Oryzias latipes: one gene and its partners. The protein of the gene in region 3 interacts with the protein of the main gene of each other region in a biochemical or structural test. Links are inferred from orthologs where the notes say so. Each region holds a gene or a part of one and is shown on either strand. Other genes may lie near its edges.

Region 1 (4,434 bases), on a different chromosome or scaffold from region 3:
AGAACCAGTTCTTTCAATCTGCTACTTTTTTCATGTTCATTTTTACTTTTAACTTTACTATTCTCTCTCGTGTTTTAACACTAAAACTAAAAAGTCCTCCAGCTTTGTTTTGTTTTCCCACCAAATCCATGTTCACTGAGATTCACCTTTGCTTCTTGGCTAATTTATTCCCTGATTTCATGCGTACACATGCAGAGATTAACCTGGATTTACAGATATCCATGTGATCTGACAAAAAAGATCCCCAATTTTTAAATTTGCATTGCATTTGCGCAACAACAAATACGTCAGATGAATTTTTAAAAGGATTCCAACAAAGCTAATTTAGCAATTTAAGTAATAATGCTTTAAGCAACCTGTAGGAAAAACAAATCACAATGTTGTTTATGCTGTTTTATTTGGATCAAATGATGAATGTGAAGCGAGTGTTTGGTCTCCTCACAAATGTATGAAAGGAAAACTTTGTAAATGAAGTGACCAAACCATGCAGACACGTAGAGGGAAAAACAAAGGGGTCCTTCACCTTCCCTCACTTCCATTTTTTTTATTTTTATTACCAACTATAACCAAACTTTAAGTGCTTTTTATTATTCTAATAACAAAATAGATTTCCACTTAATATGTACATGAAACGATCCCCATCTAGATAAAAACAGAGTTCCACCGCTGTCTCATTAGATTAGTAAGCAGCAGGTTATGATAATATCTAAGATCAAACTTTTAACCTAAATTCATAGTCATTGGCTTTGTTTATCAAAGGTTGATGCTGCATTTAAAGGTTAATTCCTTTCAGAAGCTCAGTGAGAGTTTGAATTTGGGTTGAATTTCTTCTTTGTGGTGGTGATTTATTAATCCCCCCCCCCTCTCATGTTTTTCAGCTGCATTGAAATTGATTAAATCCAAACCAATGGAGCCTCTTCCACCAAACACTCACAGGAGTCCAGTTCCCATCCCGCCTCAAAGAGCGTCTGGGAGATCTGCGGCCAACCAGCCTGCATCCAGCGGCAGCCTGCAGACCGGCTTCAACAGCAGCACTTCAACAAATCAAAACACAGGTAACAAGATACTGTACTCACATTCAAGAAGATGTGTCAACAGAAGCTCTACCTTCCTCTAAACCTTAAAACTCTTCCTATGATGTTTTTTTTCTTATCCACTCCTTCATTGTGACGTTTTCTTAAAGATCCAGTTCAATCGCTTGCCTCAGACTTTGGATTCGAGCAGAACTTTTGCCACGCTCTCAAAGTGGAAGAGAAGAAGAACCACCAGAATCGGATCACTGCTAGCAGAGAACCTCCACCTGTCCCCTCTCTGCCCCCCCGCAAAACCCCGTCGGCCCCAACAAACCCCGTTCCCCCCGCTCCCATTATGAAAAGCAAAGCTACCTCCTCAGTGGGTTTCGACACCTCGGCAATAAGCGGCGCCAAATCAGAGTGAGTCTGGTGTAGAAAGGGTTCATCACAGGAAGCTCATCCTTTTAAAACATTGCTGATTTGAATTTGATGGGGGGGGGGGACAGATCTCTGTCTTGGTGTGACAGCCCCACCAGCAACAGCATGAGAGACACGGTGTTCCTGAGCCAGACGGGCCAAAGAGAAATCCTCCTCAAGCACATCTTGTCAAAGAGAGAGAACGAATATGTGGACATCAAGAATTTCAGGTGAAAAAGCTGGTTGAGGTAGATCTGCGCTTGTCGTCTCATTCCATTCACTAAATGTTGCTCTGCAGGTTTTTTGTAGGAACATGGAACGTAAATGGACGCTCTCCTGACAGCAGTCTTGGACCGTGGCTGTCCTCTGACCGTGAACCTCCAGATATTTATGCTATAGGGTCGGTAAATATTCATTTTCCTTAATCATTCTTAACATAAAAGTATATTTGTTGCCATCAGCTCCTGCCTGGGGAGCTATCAGAGTTTTGACACGCTCGTTTACTCTAGTTTTCAAGAACTGGACCTGAGCAAGGAGGCTTTCCTTTACATGGATTCATCCAAGGAGCAACTTTGGATTGATGCTGTGGAGCGAAACTTGCACCCAAAAGCCAAATACAAGATAGTGAGTATTAAAAGTGGATGATCCGCCTGTTTGAACTCCAGAAAAACTGCCCTAGATGAAGACCAGGGGTCTGCAACCTGAGGCTCCATAGCCACATGCGGCTCTTTTACCCCTCTATTGTGGCTCTCTGATTGGAGAAAAAGAAAAACGTTTTTATTGAAAATGTCATGTATCTTTTTGGACAATAAGGCACATCCAGCGGAACAAAAATGTCAAGTCAAACTTTATTTAACTCCCCCAAAAAAAGTAGAAGCATGCAGGAACATTTCACTCCAGGAGGCTCCTGACTACTGTACCCATAATGCTCCAAAAATCCATCAAGCAATGCAACTTCATAGTTTACCAAAGACATACTAAAACATTTGGACAGAGTTTTGGATCACAGAAGATCGGACTTGGAGATCAGTAAGACAACCAGAATTCCTACATGGGGGCATTAGGCGGATTTCCTATTTTCAGTACACTATGGTCCAAAAAATACGGTAGAGCAAACAACGGTAAAACATAATGTGCATATTTTTCTGACATTTCACTACCTACTTCTAAATTTGCTGCATTGAGATGATCCTATATGCTACAGAGTGTTAAAAGTTATAAACTTAAAGAAAAAAACGTCTGTTTTCCCTTTATGTTTTTGTTTTATTTATCCGGGAAGAAAAACAAGTTTATTTATGTTTATCATAATAGTAACAATGCCATAAATATAAAGCTGTGTCTTATTGTTTTCAAGGGTAAAGTAAGACTTTGTGACTTCTATTGGGTGGTAATCAGTTAGAAATTGACCCGATTGTTTCTTGAAGGTTGCAGACCCATATGATAGGCCAAGAAAAGTTTGCTAAGCTCACTGGGTAATGGTTTTTACAGATTCAGATCATCCGGTTGGTTGGGATGATGCTTGTGGTTGCTGTAAAGAAGATTCATGTGCGGAGCATAACGGAAGTAGCTTCGGATCACGTGGGCACAGGAATTCTGGGGAAAATGGTTGGTTCACTTTCTATTTGGATTCAAATCTGTTTTCACAATTAGATTTCTTCCACTAAATAACAAACCCGTTCATTGTGTGTTTCAGGGGAACAAGGGAGGAGTTGCAGTGCGATTTGTTTTCCACAACACGAGCTTCTGCTTCGTCAACTCCCACCTCGCAGCAAAACTCGAGGAAACCGAACGTCGCAATCAGGACTACAAAGACATTTGTGCTCGCATGATCTTCAACATGCCGGGGTCTCCTTCTCTCAGTATTGTCAAACACGAGTGAGTTTCTCAGGGTCTAGCTCTAAATTAGTCTCTTTTTAATCTAAATATTTGTAACCATTGTATCAGACTGTTAACCGTTTAACAGCGGAGCTTTGAAGCTGAGAAAATCAGCTTTGCATGGTTAAGGAACACTTTACGTTAGTAATGTGTTGCATATCAGAAAAGCCACTTTTCTCCACGTTAGAATCAACTGATCCAGGTTGATCACCTATACCAGGGGTTCCCAAATCCAGGCCTCGAGAGCCGGTGTCCTGCTGGTTTTCAAAAAACCCCCGCCTTATTTGCTGCTGATTACCTGGATCAGGTGTGCTTAGCCAATAAGGAGCTTCAATGGCAGGTTGGAAAACATGTAGGACACCGGCCCTCGAGGCCTGGATTTGGGGACCCCTGACCTATACAGACAAAGAGTTACAGTATGCCAAGGCGTGTGTGTTATTTAGGTGTTGCCGGTGACATGCCAGGTGCTAAAAAGGTTCAACATTTTAAAACCAATATGATTTTTCTGAACTTAAGTTTACTAAAACGCTGTTTTTATGTGTCTTAGTGTAGTAATCTGGCTCGGGGACCTGAACTACCGCCTGTTTAACAAAGACTGCGGTGACGTTAAGCGGATGATTTCTGAGGGTAAACTGAAACAGCTCCTGAAGTTTGACCAGGTAAGAAAGGGTCTGACAGCTTTCTGTAAACTAGTTGTGCCCTGATACCTTGCCGTCTTGCCACACAAGAAAAAAAAATCACAATAAAATGAAATAAAAAATGTAAATGAAATAGAAATTTGGATTCAGGAAAAGTCATTGGAAATAAAAAAAAATCTTTTGTTAAGGCTGGCTGTCAGGAAGGAATGAAACAGAATGTGACAAGAATGAACAATGTTTTGTGTTTGTCTGTTGTGCAGTTGAGCATTCAGAGACAAACAAAACGGGCCTTCTCTGACTTCATAGAGGGAGAGATCAACTTCATACCCACCTACAAGTATGAGCCCAAAACAGACTTTTGGGATTCAAGGTGAATATCAGTGGGATTGTATTTAACTTGTTTTTGACGTAAAATTCTAACAAAGTTTGTCCTATTTTTAGCTTTATACAGTATTTTTTTATTGGTCATGAGCTAATCTTTTAATTCCTAT
Region 2 (4,434 bases), on a different chromosome or scaffold from region 3:
CCTGAGCGTTGGACACCACTGAGCGACTTAACGTCACCTCCGTCTGCAGCTCCAGCAAGCGGCCCATGTAGTAGGCCTCTTTGGAGGCTGACTCCTGCAGCAGCGTCTCCTCGATGGTCTCTCCATCTTCAGCCACTTTACGCTGGTTGCTGTACGCTTGGCCAAACGCCTGAGTGAGTTGAGGAAGAAAGAAAAGTCGTTAGAATGATGCCTCTGCAAATTGCAATCATTAAAATGACATTATGGGGGCCGCTAAATCTTCTTCCCCTACCACAGCACGGCCTGCTCACTTCCCACCAAAAATACCTGCTGTCAGTCTATACAGGGGTGATGTTTCATTTGATCAATAGACACAGTGTTCCCGTTTTCCTGACACAGGTTTTCACAGCCGCCAGGGCTGACCTGTCACGATAAAGGCGCTGAGGCTTGATTGAGAAAATCAAAGCAGGCATCAACAAGACCAATCAAGGTGGATCGGAGCCACTCGATCTGGCTTCATTGTTCTGCACAAAAGCTTTATGGGAAATAAAAATGCTGCTGTTCTGTTTGTTTTTTTCATGTGTGGAAACTGCTCACACTCTGACATCCATGCAGCAGATACTCTAGTAGCTCAATAAATCCTCTGAACCATCCTGGATTTTCTCAGCACATCAGCAGGAAGACAGGCTCTGGAGCCGGCAGGGGGCTCTTTGGGAGACGATGGATCAATACAGCTGCATGTGGAAAATATTTCATGGATTACAACGACCGCATAAAGATATATAAAGGATAGATGAATCATCGTTCCCACAGCTGCAATTAGCCAAGCAAAGTGTATTCCCCCAAACCAAAGAATGGTATTTGAATAATGCATGAGTAGCAAGTGTCTGGTAGCATTCAGAAAACTGTAGCTCTGCTGCTGTTGTTTCAAAATAAAAAAAAACAATTGAGCTAAAAATTCAAGAAAAGGCATTTTTATTATTTTTTTACAACATTATTTTCAGTTTTAGGCACTAAAATTATGATAAATTACTGGTTATCCCAATAAGTAGAATGGAAAAGAATGTTTTAATGTCATCATACAAGAAAACAAAATTTAAGGCAGGCATCATGCATTCAGGAAAAATAAAACATAATAGCAAAACCAATATAAATATGTATTTGAAAGGCTACATTCAGCAGCCTGATAGATTATGGGTAATAACTAAATGCACAAATCGTCTAAGAAGGATATAGGGATTAACCCTGGAGAAGCAACCACAATTTTCTTCTGGGCTTTTAAAATTATTTTGATTTTCTTTTTTTGTTTGTTCAGTTTGGGTAGCAGCAATTAAAAGGAGCAAAAAAAAAATTTAGATGAAAGAATTACAAAAAAACCAAAAACAAAGTGGTCAAATTTGACTCGGCAGCTTCTTCCATGAAGTCAGTTGCCTTAATACAAGTGGGTGGAGACTGCTGGCCCACCATGTCAAACATTAAAACTGCTTGATTGACAGATTTCATGTAGGGGGGGTAGGGGTGATTGGTGAGAGCGTTTGGCACAGTGACACAGGCTGATTCGGACCGTTCACTGCTTACTAATGTTGTCTGGTTCCAACATGGCGGCATCCACATCACTAAAAAATAGCAACTAATTGACTTGAGGCCTGAAGTAAACCATTTTCTATGGGTGACATCACACTCCCTCGTTCCAGTTCTCATATGCCTCGTTTCCACTGAGCGGTATGGTACGGTCAACTCCAGTCCGGTATTTTTAGCGTTTCCATTAAGCTGGACCATTTTTTAAGGCCCCGTTGGTTGAAGGTCCATAGAAAAATGGAATGAACCGGTAAGGGCGGAGATACTGTTGAAACCCATTGATTACGAAAAAAAAAAGCTCAGAGAAAGCAGTTCTTTTCCTCTTCGCCGCCCGCAGTCTTCTCTCACACAACATGAAATTATTTGCATCAACGAAGAACCAAAAGCCAAGCGGAAAAAACTGAGCTGACCTCCGTTGTTGTCGTTATGACGGTCCAACTTTGAGTGGAAACACTCACCTGAATTGCCTGGACCATTCTAAACTGGACCGGACCATACCACTCAGTGGAAACGGGGCTAAATAAATGCATTTGACCTACTTTTAGAACATCGTCGTAAGGAACCAACAGATTAACATGAATGAGAGGTAAACGGTAGATCTAGATAGGTTGCACTGTGTGGCCGATCAGATCGTTCCTATTCCAGTGAACCAATGTGTTGAATTTGATTCATGGCGAGGAAGTGATATTAATTCACTCAACTGTAGGATATTTAAATTTGTGTGAAGCCTTTGAATTACAAAGGAGCGCTTAGCATTTGAATGAGGGGAGCAATCTCCAGCCCTGTAAAAGGCATGTCAATACACAAAACGATGCCCTCTGGGATTTGCTTTATATCCACCAAAAGAATGAAAATCTTCCTTTTTTTCCCCTCCCGGTCTCTACACATCTGTTACTCTTTTATTTTTCGCTCGTTCCCCCTCCCTTGCTGGGCCCACAGTGCCCTCTGTTGCTCTCCAGGGAAGCACAGTGGGATTGTGGTGTAGAATGGGAGAAAAAGCCTGTTGGAACAAATCCACTGATTAATTCTGCCCACAGGCCCCCTGAATGAGCTCGCACTCCCGCGCTGGACGTCCCGTTTAAGCCCCGCAGCAAAACATCTGAGCCCCGCAGGTGTGTGGAAGGACATTTTCACCCCACATTTGCGAGGTGAAAACTGATCATTTGGAGTGGGATGGGGTTTTCTTGGTTGCCAGGCAACCAAGAACCAATTTGAGAGGGTTTCTGCTCCTGGGCTAGAAAGGATCTGGCATCCAAACAGCACAGACAAAAGTTGCCATTCCTGTTGGTGCTCATTTAAGCTTCCAGCTTCATCCTAAGCACAAATATGACTGATAAATTACAGCATAATGCATTAGTGACCTGATAAAAGCCAAGATGACGGAGACTTCTTTTTGGTTTAGTCGATGCTAAACAGGCCAGAAACAGAATTTCCGATGATGAATCAGAAGCTACTCATCCAAAGAAGCAGTGGCTCTTAGATGCATAATGAGAGGCAGATGGTTTCATAAAAGCCCTCCTTCACGGGATGAACCACAATTCTCCAGGTCCTCTCCTCCATCTGCGAGCTGCTTGGAGAAAACGTCAGGGAACTGCAATGATGGCAATGACTTCCTGTTTACTCCTGTCTGCTTTGCCCCCATATGACGTCTACAGGCAAAAATAACAGCGACAGAACTGTGCTGTGTGTCAGCGATGACACCAAATGCTGTATAGAGACGCATCTCCAACTCTGGGGGGGGGTCCTTCTGCAGTGGAAATTTTTTTTTTTCAAGACGAGAATGATGGAGCCCCTCATTGATCTCTTTGGATCTTTGCATTGAACGCATCATTTTGTGTTCAGTATGCCTTAATAGTGGAAGTCCAGACAACGGGGCCCCTCTATGAAAATATTCATCCCTGGGGCGATAGCAGGAGCAGCAAAGCAGTGTAAGGGGGGAGGAGCAGGGAGGACCAGTCCTTTCCTGTGAGCTCCGGGCGATAATGAGGAATCGAGGAGGTCTCCAGCTGGAATTTATTTTATTTACCATTGAAAAGAAATAGAGGAATCATTGTTTTGATTCAAACTTTCCTTGTTATGGGATGTGAAACCCTTAGTAGTCTCTGCTCTCATCGGTGCATTTGTCAATCACATGGTTTGTTTAAATGATGCCGGAAGGTATTTTGCTTTGAAAGTTTTGGTATAAAACAAACATAAAGGGAGCTTTGATGCATAATTATGACACAACTCGGAATATATCCTTAGAACATTTACATAGTTTATACTGTTGTCTTTTTTTCCCTGCATGTTTATTTTTTACATTGTTTTAGCTTTGTTTTTGGATTTTCTTATTGTCATTTTGTTTGTACATTTAAAAAAAATGTTTAAATTAATCTCAGTTTTGCAGTAAATAACTAACAATATGTAACAGTTCACTTTTTTTCCTGTTCAGTTTCAAGTTTATCATGCAATTATTGTGTGATTTAATAAAACATTTGTTAGTAAAAAAAGAAATTCTGTGGTTCTGCTAAAAAGACATATCAAGCATTGCCATAAAAACTATTTTAAAGGTCAATCATTCCAGCAAACTGTGAAACTCTGGGCTACTAAGGGTTAACATGTGACAGAGTCTATGAGGGGAAGCTTTGGCGAGCAAGCACGAATGGTAGTCCAAATTTAATATTTTAGGACAGACAGTGGGAAGTTATACAAGAGGCTGGACTCACAGTGCAGAACTTGTACAATCATGTTTTCAAACACTATTTGGCCAAAAAGTACTTGGAAAACAGGAAATGTTTTGTGTCTATTTTACATCTGAACCAGCATGTTAAATATAAATGGAGTTCCCCAAGGCTCCGTCCTGGGTCCACCTCTATTTAACATCTAAATGCTCCCACT
Region 3 (5,922 bases):
ATTCTCTAACCAAACGATGCCATCACATTTTTAGAAATAATCAGATTTGTAGTCAATGCTTAATCACTAATGATCTGTCATCATGTCAGCGATCACAGATTATTAGAGATATTTGAGGCTTCTGGAGTTGAAGCCCAGGGCAGCATCGGCAGCAGGACTACAGAGCACGACTGACACACAACTTTACCTGCTTTACGTTGTAGCCCGCTTTCGCACTAGTCTCAATAAACATTACATTTAGTTCTTTGGCTTTCCGTTCGCCCTCTTCAATAGAAACTTGCCTGTGGTAGATAAAGGTGTTGAAAAGATACACAACTAGACAAAACACAGCGTCGCTTAACAAGTCAATCAAATGCATCATTGTAAACATTTGCAATCATGGAAAATGTCAAATAAACAATAGCTTTGGTTATCCTGAAGAACACAGAAAAACAGGGTCATCAGTCGAAATGTGACTTCAAAAGGGAAAGCCTGCACAGAAGATGCAAGAAATTACCTTTTGTCAGCCAGGTCTGTCTTGTTTCCCACCAACATGATGATGACATCACTTCCTCTCTCTGTTCTAACGTCATCAATCCATTTTGTGGTTTGCTGGAAAGAGTTAACGTCTGACAGAGAGACAAAAGTTCATCCCAAATTCAGTGAGGTAGCTTAGCTGTGAAAGCTGCTGGATCGCAGCACAGAAGTCCCATCAGTCTAGTGATGCTAAATCACTCACTCGTGATGTCGTACACAACAACAGCGGCAGCAGAGTCTCTAATATAACTTGGGATGAGGCTGCGAAAGCGCTCTTGTCCTGCTGTGTCCCACAGCTGCAACCTGATCTGTGGGGCAGGAAGAGGATGAAATGAAAAATGAAAGAGAAGAAAAAAATAAAAAAGAAATAAAACACAAAATCAAGATGAAAACAAACAGATAAAGGACCCAGTCAACGCGGCCAAAACGAATATTGAAAGAAAATTCTTTCAGACTAATGGAGAAAAAAAAAAGAAAAAACAGAAAGTGAATAGAAAAGAAGTAACACGTGCATGTTGGGAATGACCATCAGAGAGAGTAAGCTGTCTGGGCCTGGGGGGGAAAGAAATAAACAGTCACCTTTCATTTGTCACCCCCTCTATTGACCAAGTAAGGTGTTTCATTTAAAAGAAATGTGATGATTAATAGATGATGGAAAGGAAAGGAGAGGAAGAAAACTTCAGTTGAGGGAAAAAGAATACAGTGAGGCCTGTCCCGACGGTACAACAGGACACTACAATGTTCTACATGTGCTTTTTGAAGTGAACACTTAAAAAGTCAGGCGCTTAACCAGTCAGATCAGTTGTACAAAAGCTCACCGACCGTGTGAGGTGATTCGGCTTTGCATGGCCTTCACACAAAACCCACGCCAATCAAAACAACAAACAGGATTTACAAGTTAGGATAGGAAACACACAAAACTTACTGTTCTGTCTTCAAGGTACATGGTTTTTGATAGGAAATCTATTCCTATTGTGGCCTGAAAGAGAAAAAGAACTTCATTATACAGCTATAATTGCTTTAAATTAACACGACAAAATACAAGGTACATTAATGCTTAGGAAAACAGGCAGTCTTACTTGGTATGTGTTGTCAAAGCTGTCATACATGAACCTGGTAATCAACGAAGTCTTTCCCACTAAAACAGAAATAAAGATTAAGGGAAAAATTGAACTTTTCAATATCTATATGCATTGATTTAATTTTTTTGTTTAATATTGAGCACAAAATGTAGATTTTTTTAAGAAAGGAACACAGGTTTTATCAAGTAACGGATTTACATTTTATTACGTCGAATCAACAAATGGGTGTAGAAATAACCCCTATATGATAACTACGATAAGTGTTTAGAGAATGCATCCATATAGTCCAGTTTTTTAAGATATGGAATGACATTATTTTAAAATGGAGGGTTGAGGAACAGTCGGAAGAAAGGACTGGGGTCTAGGTATTCAAAACAGGATTTTTTTGTGTGTGAATTTCTAAATATTGTGGCCTAGATTGACCCAAACATGGCATATCCTAAATAAAAAACAGTATGTTAATGATCACCTGTTCAGACTTTATGACATTTCTTTAAAAAAATAATCAATTGAAGTGGATATCCATGTTAGGCAATCCTTCCTGTCCTAAGACTGTTTATTACTCGAGTTACGTTATCAGTTTCAATGAGCGACAAGGGGGACAGTGACATGGCTCAGGCCAACATGACTGTTCACAGAGGTCACAGACGATAACTATCGGCTTTTTTTGGATGACTCGTTCCGTAGGATGAAACACTTCTACTCTGTATTACTCCACATTTCTATTATGTTACTCAATTCCCAGCAGGTTTATGAAAGCGGATATATGGACGTGATCATAACTATCTTACTGAAAGCTCTGAGTCTAACACTTAGGCAGAAAATGTTCTGAATGCAAAACATGTATGCATGTAGATAAATTGTACATTTGTAGATAAATAAAGTCTAAAATAAATATAAACAAATTAAATGTGTGATGGTTTGTGACTGTAAGACGGTTGTTGGTTCTAATCCTGGAAGTAATCACTTAGGAGAAATCCCATTATAAAAACATTAGATATAAATATTATAGGTCCTTCAAATACTTAATGTTCAAATGAAAACATTCTAAACCCACCAGGAGGTTGCTGAACGGAGGAAGGATCTAGGATCCTTACTGTGTGCTTTTAAGGAAACTCTTGCGAGTATGGTAGAGTGAGTTATCTTCCTGTGCTCACGCGGACTATAGGAATTTAGAAGGGTAACATACCATAAATAAATAAAATAAACAAATTGATTAGGACAACACTTTATCTTAATAAAAATACATCATGTAAGTTAGCCTATTATTTGCTAGGTTAAGAAACAGCCTCATAATAAATAATATACTGTCTACTACTTCTTAATAATTTACAACTTTCCACTCTTAACATGTTACATCTTACCAGTGAAAAGACAAGTCAGCAAACACAATGAATTACATGATCAAAACGTGAAGAATGATCTGTGATTATCCTCGGAGTCCGCGTCCACACTACAGGCAGCATGATCAGCAGTGTTTTTATCCGGTTTCAAGTAAACGCAGCTAATGTTAGCTAGCTAACTACAAAGCGGAAGAAAAACCAGGCATCCCGTTAAACTCTGGTTTTCAAAAGGAAAGTTTATCACAATAATATTGATAACATACATTCCTCGTAAAGGGAACCGTAACGAGAAAAACTTACCACTTTGTTCCCCGAGGAAGACCAGTTTAAATTTCCTTAAAGGGTTCCCGAAGTCTCCGGCCCCAGACATGTCGACGGAACCAAAAACGAACCCAGAAGGCGCCCTTAAGTATTAATTCTAACTAAGTAGCTATTGTCTGTTATCAAGTGTATGGTATACGTAAAGTTCAGAAACAAAGTTTGGTAATCAATGACAACTCCTTTAAGCTCCAACACACTTTCAGATAAGTCGGTAACTATTACTGCCAACTGAGCATTACTTCAGACTGTCATGGCTACCAGCAAGCCCCTCCAGACACTTCTTCTGTAGACACATCAGTGTATGATACGTGTGTAACAGTGCTACCACGCCCTCTGCTGGTGCTCAACCAGCAAGGATGGGAGGGAAAAAAATGCCATACTATTTTTTATTACTTCATGTTTCCATACGAGGGCGCGCTAACACCACATTATTATTATTATTATTATTATTATTATTATTATTATTATTATTATTATTATTATTATTATTATTATTATTATTATTATTATTATTCATTTCACATGTTCTATTTTCAGGACTCCTTTTTTTAAAATCCGTCTGATTTCCCATGAATAAAAGTTATACCAATAATGAAATTTTAACCTAAATTATTTATATTAGGTATTAAACCCAAATTCTTGCATGAGCTCTATTAAATACATAACAGTGTGTATAGACTTAATTGATTGTTTGTAAATTTTAAGTCAGAAAATTTTGGGTTTTGATGCAGAGATAGTAGAAATAGTTATAAATTTTGTCATTATAAAGGGGGTCTCATGGGGGACTATTCAGGTACACAGCTGAAGTTCTGCTATGTTTACCAGATGAAAGAATTATGATAAATCTAATATAACATTTTTTTGTTAAAAGTAGCTTAGAAAAAAATGGCATGTAGTTGTATGAAAAAAGTCAAAGCTTTTATTGAGAAAATTTCTGATTTTTACATCTGTTGTAATATGTTCCACATTTTTGCTTTCAAAAATTCCTGGTTGTTAAAATGCTCTGATTACCGAGGGCTTTTGACATTTGTAATGCTTTTGTGGAACATCCTTTTCTCCAACCAGCTTATAGTCATCAAATCTTGTACTCTTTTTACAAATGTTAATGTTTCATTTGGTATCATAATGACATAAAATGGGAATTTTTTACCAGGGATGAAATTTTGACATGCATGATTCTTTATTGTCCAGACTTTGAACAATCGTGATTATTCACACAACATACTGTGTAATATTTGTAATTACAACTAATGTATAATATAATTGTTGTTGTTTCCTTGGGTCTAACCTCATTTGAGTATAACTTTAATGCAATGAGGCTAATTGCAAATTCTCCTAATTTGATATTTTGTATTATTTTTATACAACCCAAATTTTTGCAGCAATACAAAATTGTTTGAGATATAATTTACATAAATACATGTGTAGTGTTTTACTACAGTACAGTCTGCACATTTCTGCCTACCTCAGCTGTTCTAGGTCAGTTAAGAGAATGCACACACCTGCGCCCCTCTTTCATTCTTGTGTCGTCCAGCTCCTCTTACAGCATTTATCAGCTGATGCTGGCACTTCAGCTGCAAGGTTTGTGACCAAAAGCGGAGCTGAAGTGGAGCCATCATGGTTCACTAGCTTGCCCGTCTTCTCTTCTTTTAGCCCTTGTACCGCTAATGTCCTTGGTGAGGGGAAAGACCTCCTCCCATTCCCTCAGAAGATGCTGAAACGACAAAATCTATTTGTCTCCCCACAGCATGTCCTGCTCTTTCCCTGTCTTCCACATGTGAGGGGGAATTTTTTTGTGCATTTTTTTTTACGTTAACAGTTATGTATTGATAATGGGAAGGTGGTCCCACTATTTCAAAGCATAGCAAGAACATCTAATTCTGCAGAATAAATTAGAAAAAGTTGTAATTGTAATTGAAAGTCGCACAATTGAACAGAGGGGCAGCAATAATGAATTGAATAATGAACCACTTCCAGCTATGACTTCATGCTGGTGTGTTGGTCACATGCTTTGTCAGTGCATCATTTACTTCGGCAAATTTTGAGTCGTTGAGATGGGAAAGACCTGTTATGACTCACAGATTGGAAATGACTCCATGGAGTTCTTCGTTTTGAATGTAGGATTCTCTTGTTTGGCTTTTTGTTTTTCTTTTTAGGAAGATAAAAAGTGTTTATCTGCTAGATGTGAGCAGGTTAATTTAATTGGATCCATCTCCCTGCATCTGTGGGCTTAGTGCAGGGCGATCATCACTTTTCCGATCCACCTTCATGTAAGTGTAATGACTGCAGCTTTCAATGTCACAGTAAAGTACAACACAGTGCTCATTTCTCTTGGGACAGGGAGAGAATGAAGGATTACTGTAGGATGTGTGGAGGACATGAAGAAAGGACAAGACAGGAAAAACAGGAAGGGCAAAGGCATTGGGTCAGGAAAAAAAGGGGTAAATTGAAATGTCAGCTAAATAAGTGTAAAATGCTAGAGTGACAAATATTCAATCCACCTCCTGGATTCACTTGTTTGATGTTGTGGGACATAAAAAAATGGGAGCATTTAAAGTGCAGCCCATTTCTCGCACCAGTACAAAGGACTGCAGGGAAGGCAGGGCAGAGGGAACAGTATGATCTGCAACCTGTATATTCTGAGCAGCATCAGAGACATG
Region 4 (4,055 bases), about 2.2 Mb from region 3:
TCACTTAAAGGCAATTCTGGACAACATATGATGCATTTTTGCTACCAGTGTACAAACAGAAACGTGCTATTTGTTGGGAAAAATAAATAAATGTGTGAAACTTTTCTTACATTCTCACATTAAATACATGCAAACCATTTTTTATGAATCCCATTTTATTCAGACCAAACTGGCTAAATACTAATGTGCAAAACCAGACATTGAGAAGGATGTGAAATATTTACATAAACACAGATCCATGCAGCATATAATTATATATTAAAGCTTATTAGCTAAAGAGCATCCCTACCTCCCAAAAAAAGGTGTCTTTGGTCATGGAAACACTGCAGTCAAGCTGATAATGTTTGAGGACAACTGGATCAAGTTCCTCACCAGAAAAAGAAAAAATACATTTATTTTTCCTTTAAAAACTTACGGCAAGCACTTGGAAATGCCAGTTAAAAAAACCCAAAACGTATAGGTTTCTTCCAATGAATCAGTAACACATTTTTGAATCAAAATAAGATCAAAGCCGTTTCATTTTTATTCAAAACAGTTTAAAAGTTACTGCAAACATGAGCTTCCATTACACTTTACTTTTATTAAAGTCAATGGAATCAGAAATAAACTTTTTTACTTCAGAAGCTTGTACTTTGATGTTCTTACACACATCAGTTTCCTTTTGTCTCCTGCAGCTTTACTGGCTTATAAAGTAACTATCTGGCACGGCAGCAAGTTAAGCAAAAAGCAGGCGATTAACGTATGAGAACAGTATAAAGATAACCAGCAACTTTTCTTTTGAATGATGTGAGAATTTCAGCTCAGTGCTTCGCTCTGACACTACGAGGCGTGAGGACTGGGCTAGGAGGGGGGGTCTGTTGGCGTGACCTTAGAACCCGCATGTATGGGGTGGCGTTGGCTTCTTCGGCGCCGCGGGTGCAGTATCTGGGTGTTGGGGTTCGCGGCGGGAACAGGGACTGGAAAAAGGGACGCTTCTGTGGCGGGCGGTTTTCCGTGTCGCCGGTGGGCGTGCAGCCCCGCTTTTTACAGAAGCCCGATGTGGTGGGCGTGGCGAAGCCCGCCGGTTGCAGCTCAGGGCGGCCCATCTGGGTCTCCGCTTTGCGCCGTAGCTCAGCTTTGACCAACATCAGGCCATTCTGCAGCTCCGTCAGGATCTGGTTCTAAGAAGAAGTCAGTTGGTTAGATGAGACTAGAGGAGGAGATGCGGTTGAACGTGGGGAGGAAGTAAGACAACAGTGCAGCATGCTGTAGTACGCCACCAGGAGAACGTGTTAGAACCCTAGGTTTAGTTTTAAAGATGCCTGTGCATGACAAGGGGTTAAAGAGAGAATTTAGGGGGGAAGAAAGAGATTTAAAGAGAATTAAACACCTGAACAGTTACGTTCTAAATGCTGTAATGATGGCTTGCTCACATCTGACATGAAAAGCTAAGAAAGTGTAATGGCACATATTTTAAGCCTTTTTTTCCTGCTACAGAAGACCGAGCACACCAAGAGAGTCAGAGTGTACAGAGGGATTAAGCTCTCCTGGCTGTAAGCGGCTGTACCTGCTTAACAAGTGTCTCATCTGCAGCCGTTAATGTGTGGCGCAGCCTCTCCCCGCCCGTGTTGCGACAGCAGGCTCTCTCCCCAGACTGCAGCTCCTCTCCCAGCCTCAGCAAGTCCAGACGCAGCTGCCGCAGGTTCTGTTGGAGAATGAATCACCTTTATTCGTACAAATCACAAATGGAAAAAAAAAAAAGAAGTCGACAGTGGACTGACCCTTTGACAGCCCTGCAGCTTGCGCTCAGCTGCACCAGTGACAGTTCCAGCTGAACCAGGCACTTCGGACTGCGCCCTCAGCTTCATTAGTTCTGCGCATTCAAACAGATTAAGACACTCAATATTTAGCCGATTTCACATAACCTTTTTAAACATGCATGAAAAAATGAATTACCTTGAGTCTTGGCGAAAAGCTCGATGCGACACTGTTCAAGTTCAGCTCGCAGTCTGCAGACGTCGTTGGAGCTGAGCCGCTGCGACCGCCGAGGACAATCAGAGTCTCCTAAAGGCTCCAGCATAGAGACCGGTCCTTCCGCTGCCTTCTTTTGTTCTTTTAGAGCTGCCTTTAAAGCCTCAATCTCCTGATCCCGCTCCTATGAAACATCCATACAGTGATTTTAGACACATGGGGGTTACCCTGACCCTCTATGAGGAAACAAAACCTATAACTGTTAAAAAAAAAAAAATAGAAAATCCAAGTCTGACCTCGAGCTCTCGGCTGTAGAATTTCTGCAGATGTTTCTGCAGGCAGGCGATCTTGTTTTCATACAGCTCTTCAATCAGACCTTTCTCAGTCTCTAGGGTTTCCCTAAAAGAAAGCAACTGCTAAGCACCTGAAGCCGTCTCAACAAAGAAAAACGTGTACTTATTGCATACTTTTACTTTTGAGTCACTGACACAAAAAAGAATCATGGATGTAATGTTTCTTTTGATAGTTTAAATTCAACTGACCCCAACTGACTTTTATTGACAACTAATTCTGATTGTTATTCAAAAAACACATACTTGAAACCTTCCTGCATGTTGGTGATGACTTCCATCATCTCAGAGACCACCTGCTCCCTCACGTTGGCCTCCAGAGCCACTTTCTCTTCACGCTGGCGCCGCACTTCTCGCTTTAGGACATCAATTGCTTGCAGCAAAGTCTTAAAAATGTAAAACATTTAAACTATTTAAAAATGGGAACAATTTTTCAGATATGAGATGTTCATCTTAAATATTCCATAACACTTGCAAAATGTTGTAACACTCAAAGTGAAATCAGATTTCTCAGAAGAAAATTACATCTTTTTTAAGGTCAGAGATAAAACAGAACACCAGGAATAGATCCAACACATTTACCTCAGTGTTTAACATGGTGATGTCTCCGTCTTCAACATCACTTTCTTCCTCTTCTTCCTCCATCACAGTGCTTTCGTTCCTGTTGGCCGTTTGCTCACGAAGCATGGACAGAATGTAGGCCACTCTGGTCTTAGTAGATGGGCCGTGGACGAGCTGCAAAAGAACGGTTTTATTTCATTTTTGTCCTTTTATGCAGTGCTAAACCAGTCCAGTTGTCGAGGTAAAGGACTCGTTTTCTGACCTGCGTCGCAATTGCAGAGAACTTGAGGACCTGAAGGGTTTCGTCGTAGGTGGAAGCACATGGGTTGATGTTGACCACCATGCAAGAGGTTCCCCGCCCACAGAAGAAGCCCTGCAGGACGCGCGTCAGTTTGCTGTCCCTAAAGGGTACCACTTGAGGTGGCCGTGATCTATTGACGGGATACAAAATACTTTGAATATCCCTCACTCAACAACTCAGCTCCCACATTTTGTTCTGCTCGGTCCAACCAAAGTGTCAGTTTTACACCTACTTGTTCTGGTTGTGCCTCAGGGCGCTGATACAGCGCCCCAGGGTCATAAGGGAGGTGTTGATGTTGGTGGCTTCCTTCATCCTTTCTCCAAGACGCTGCTCTTTGCAGCGTTCAGATCCGGCCAGATCACACACAGTCAGCCTGGAAAGTGCATGATCAAAACATGGCAGCGCCCAAAATAATGTCACTGAGTTTGAGCTTGCTGCAGCTGAACTTACTCGCTGATTTGCAAAGCTTGCCCTGGAACTGCATCGGGGTGGACGTGCAGAACGCGGATGGAAAAGATGCTGTGGCTGAATTCATGAATTAACCATTAGATATGCTACAAAAAGAATTCAAAACAGAAAACCTCTTGCTGGGGTCCTACCTTCTGCTGGAGTTTTGATTAAGATGAGTGCTGGCAAAGCTCTGGTTTCGACATCCAGCTTTTAAAACCTTCCAGGCTTCTTCTGCGCTCCGCACCTGGATCCAGGTAAGGTCTGTGGCGATGAAAGGGGAAGAAGAACTCAACGTTATGTATACATGTTATACAGTCAAACACAAAGCAGAGACTTGTTCCAGAGGACCAGCTGGTGTTACCTTTCACGTAGGGGTTGCCCTGCTTGTCGTCACTCAGCCGCAGTGTGATTCTTTTTCGGGACTGCAGGGAGAGTGAGGTATC

The links.
Region 1: the proteins of rab6a (region 3) and ocrl form a complex in vitro, tested with the Homo sapiens proteins (2 studies listed by BioGRID and IntAct, with this or other methods). The link is inferred for Oryzias latipes from reciprocal best matches to the Homo sapiens genes RAB6A and OCRL.
Region 2: the proteins of rab6a (region 3) and protein bicaudal D homolog 1 form a complex in vitro, tested with the Homo sapiens proteins (3 studies listed by BioGRID). The link is inferred for Oryzias latipes from reciprocal best matches to the Homo sapiens genes RAB6A and BICD1.
Region 4: the proteins of rab6a (region 3) and kif20a form a complex in vitro, tested with the Homo sapiens proteins (2 studies listed by BioGRID). The link is inferred for Oryzias latipes from reciprocal best matches to the Homo sapiens genes RAB6A and KIF20A.

What each region holds. Positions count from the first base shown.
Region 1 is NC_019868.2:9,852,000-9,856,433, forward strand, and holds part of ocrl (inositol polyphosphate 5-phosphatase OCRL-1), read left to right. Parts: intron 1-878; coding exon 879-1,055; intron 1,056-1,183; coding exon 1,184-1,433; intron 1,434-1,519; coding exon 1,520-1,660; intron 1,661-1,728; coding exon 1,729-1,830; intron 1,831-1,939; coding exon 1,940-2,054; intron 2,055-2,918; coding exon 2,919-3,035; intron 3,036-3,123; coding exon 3,124-3,305; intron 3,306-3,852; coding exon 3,853-3,964; intron 3,965-4,203; coding exon 4,204-4,313; intron 4,314-4,434. UniProt on the Homo sapiens protein: Catalyzes the hydrolysis of the 5-position phosphate of phosphatidylinositol 4,5-bisphosphate (PtdIns(4,5)P2) and phosphatidylinositol-3,4,5-bisphosphate (PtdIns(3,4,5)P3), with the greatest catalytic activity towards PtdIns(4,5)P2.
Region 2 is NC_019864.2:29,416,603-29,421,036, forward strand, and holds part of protein bicaudal D homolog 1, read right to left. Parts: intron 170-4,434; coding exon 1-169. UniProt on the Homo sapiens protein: Regulates coat complex coatomer protein I (COPI)-independent Golgi-endoplasmic reticulum transport by recruiting the dynein-dynactin motor complex.
Region 3 is NC_019872.2:16,402,557-16,408,478, reverse strand, and holds the start of rab6a (ras-related protein Rab-6A), read right to left. Parts: upstream 3,560-5,922; 5' UTR 3,312-3,559; coding exon 3,242-3,311; intron 2,983-3,241; exon of another isoform or gene 2,963-2,982; intron 1,655-2,962; coding exon 1,596-1,654; intron 1,496-1,595; coding exon 1,442-1,495; intron 825-1,441; coding exon 719-824; intron 609-718; coding exon 497-608; intron 282-496; coding exon 188-281; intron 1-187. UniProt on the Homo sapiens protein: The small GTPases Rab are key regulators of intracellular membrane trafficking, from the formation of transport vesicles to their fusion with membranes.
Region 4 is NC_019872.2:14,186,798-14,190,852, reverse strand, and holds the end of kif20a (kinesin-like protein KIF20A), read right to left. Parts: coding exon 3,974-4,055; intron 3,874-3,973; coding exon 3,762-3,873; intron 3,688-3,761; coding exon 3,613-3,687; intron 3,536-3,612; coding exon 3,395-3,535; intron 3,293-3,394; coding exon 3,124-3,292; intron 3,036-3,123; coding exon 2,883-3,035; intron 2,687-2,882; coding exon 2,547-2,686; intron 2,350-2,546; coding exon 2,247-2,349; intron 2,135-2,246; coding exon 1,936-2,134; intron 1,853-1,935; coding exon 1,761-1,852; intron 1,685-1,760; coding exon 1,547-1,684; intron 1,161-1,546; coding exon 801-1,160; 3' UTR 501-800; downstream 1-500. UniProt on the Homo sapiens protein: Mitotic kinesin required for chromosome passenger complex (CPC)-mediated cytokinesis. Following phosphorylation by PLK1, involved in recruitment of PLK1 to the central spindle. Interacts with guanosine triphosphate (GTP)-bound forms of RAB6A and RAB6B.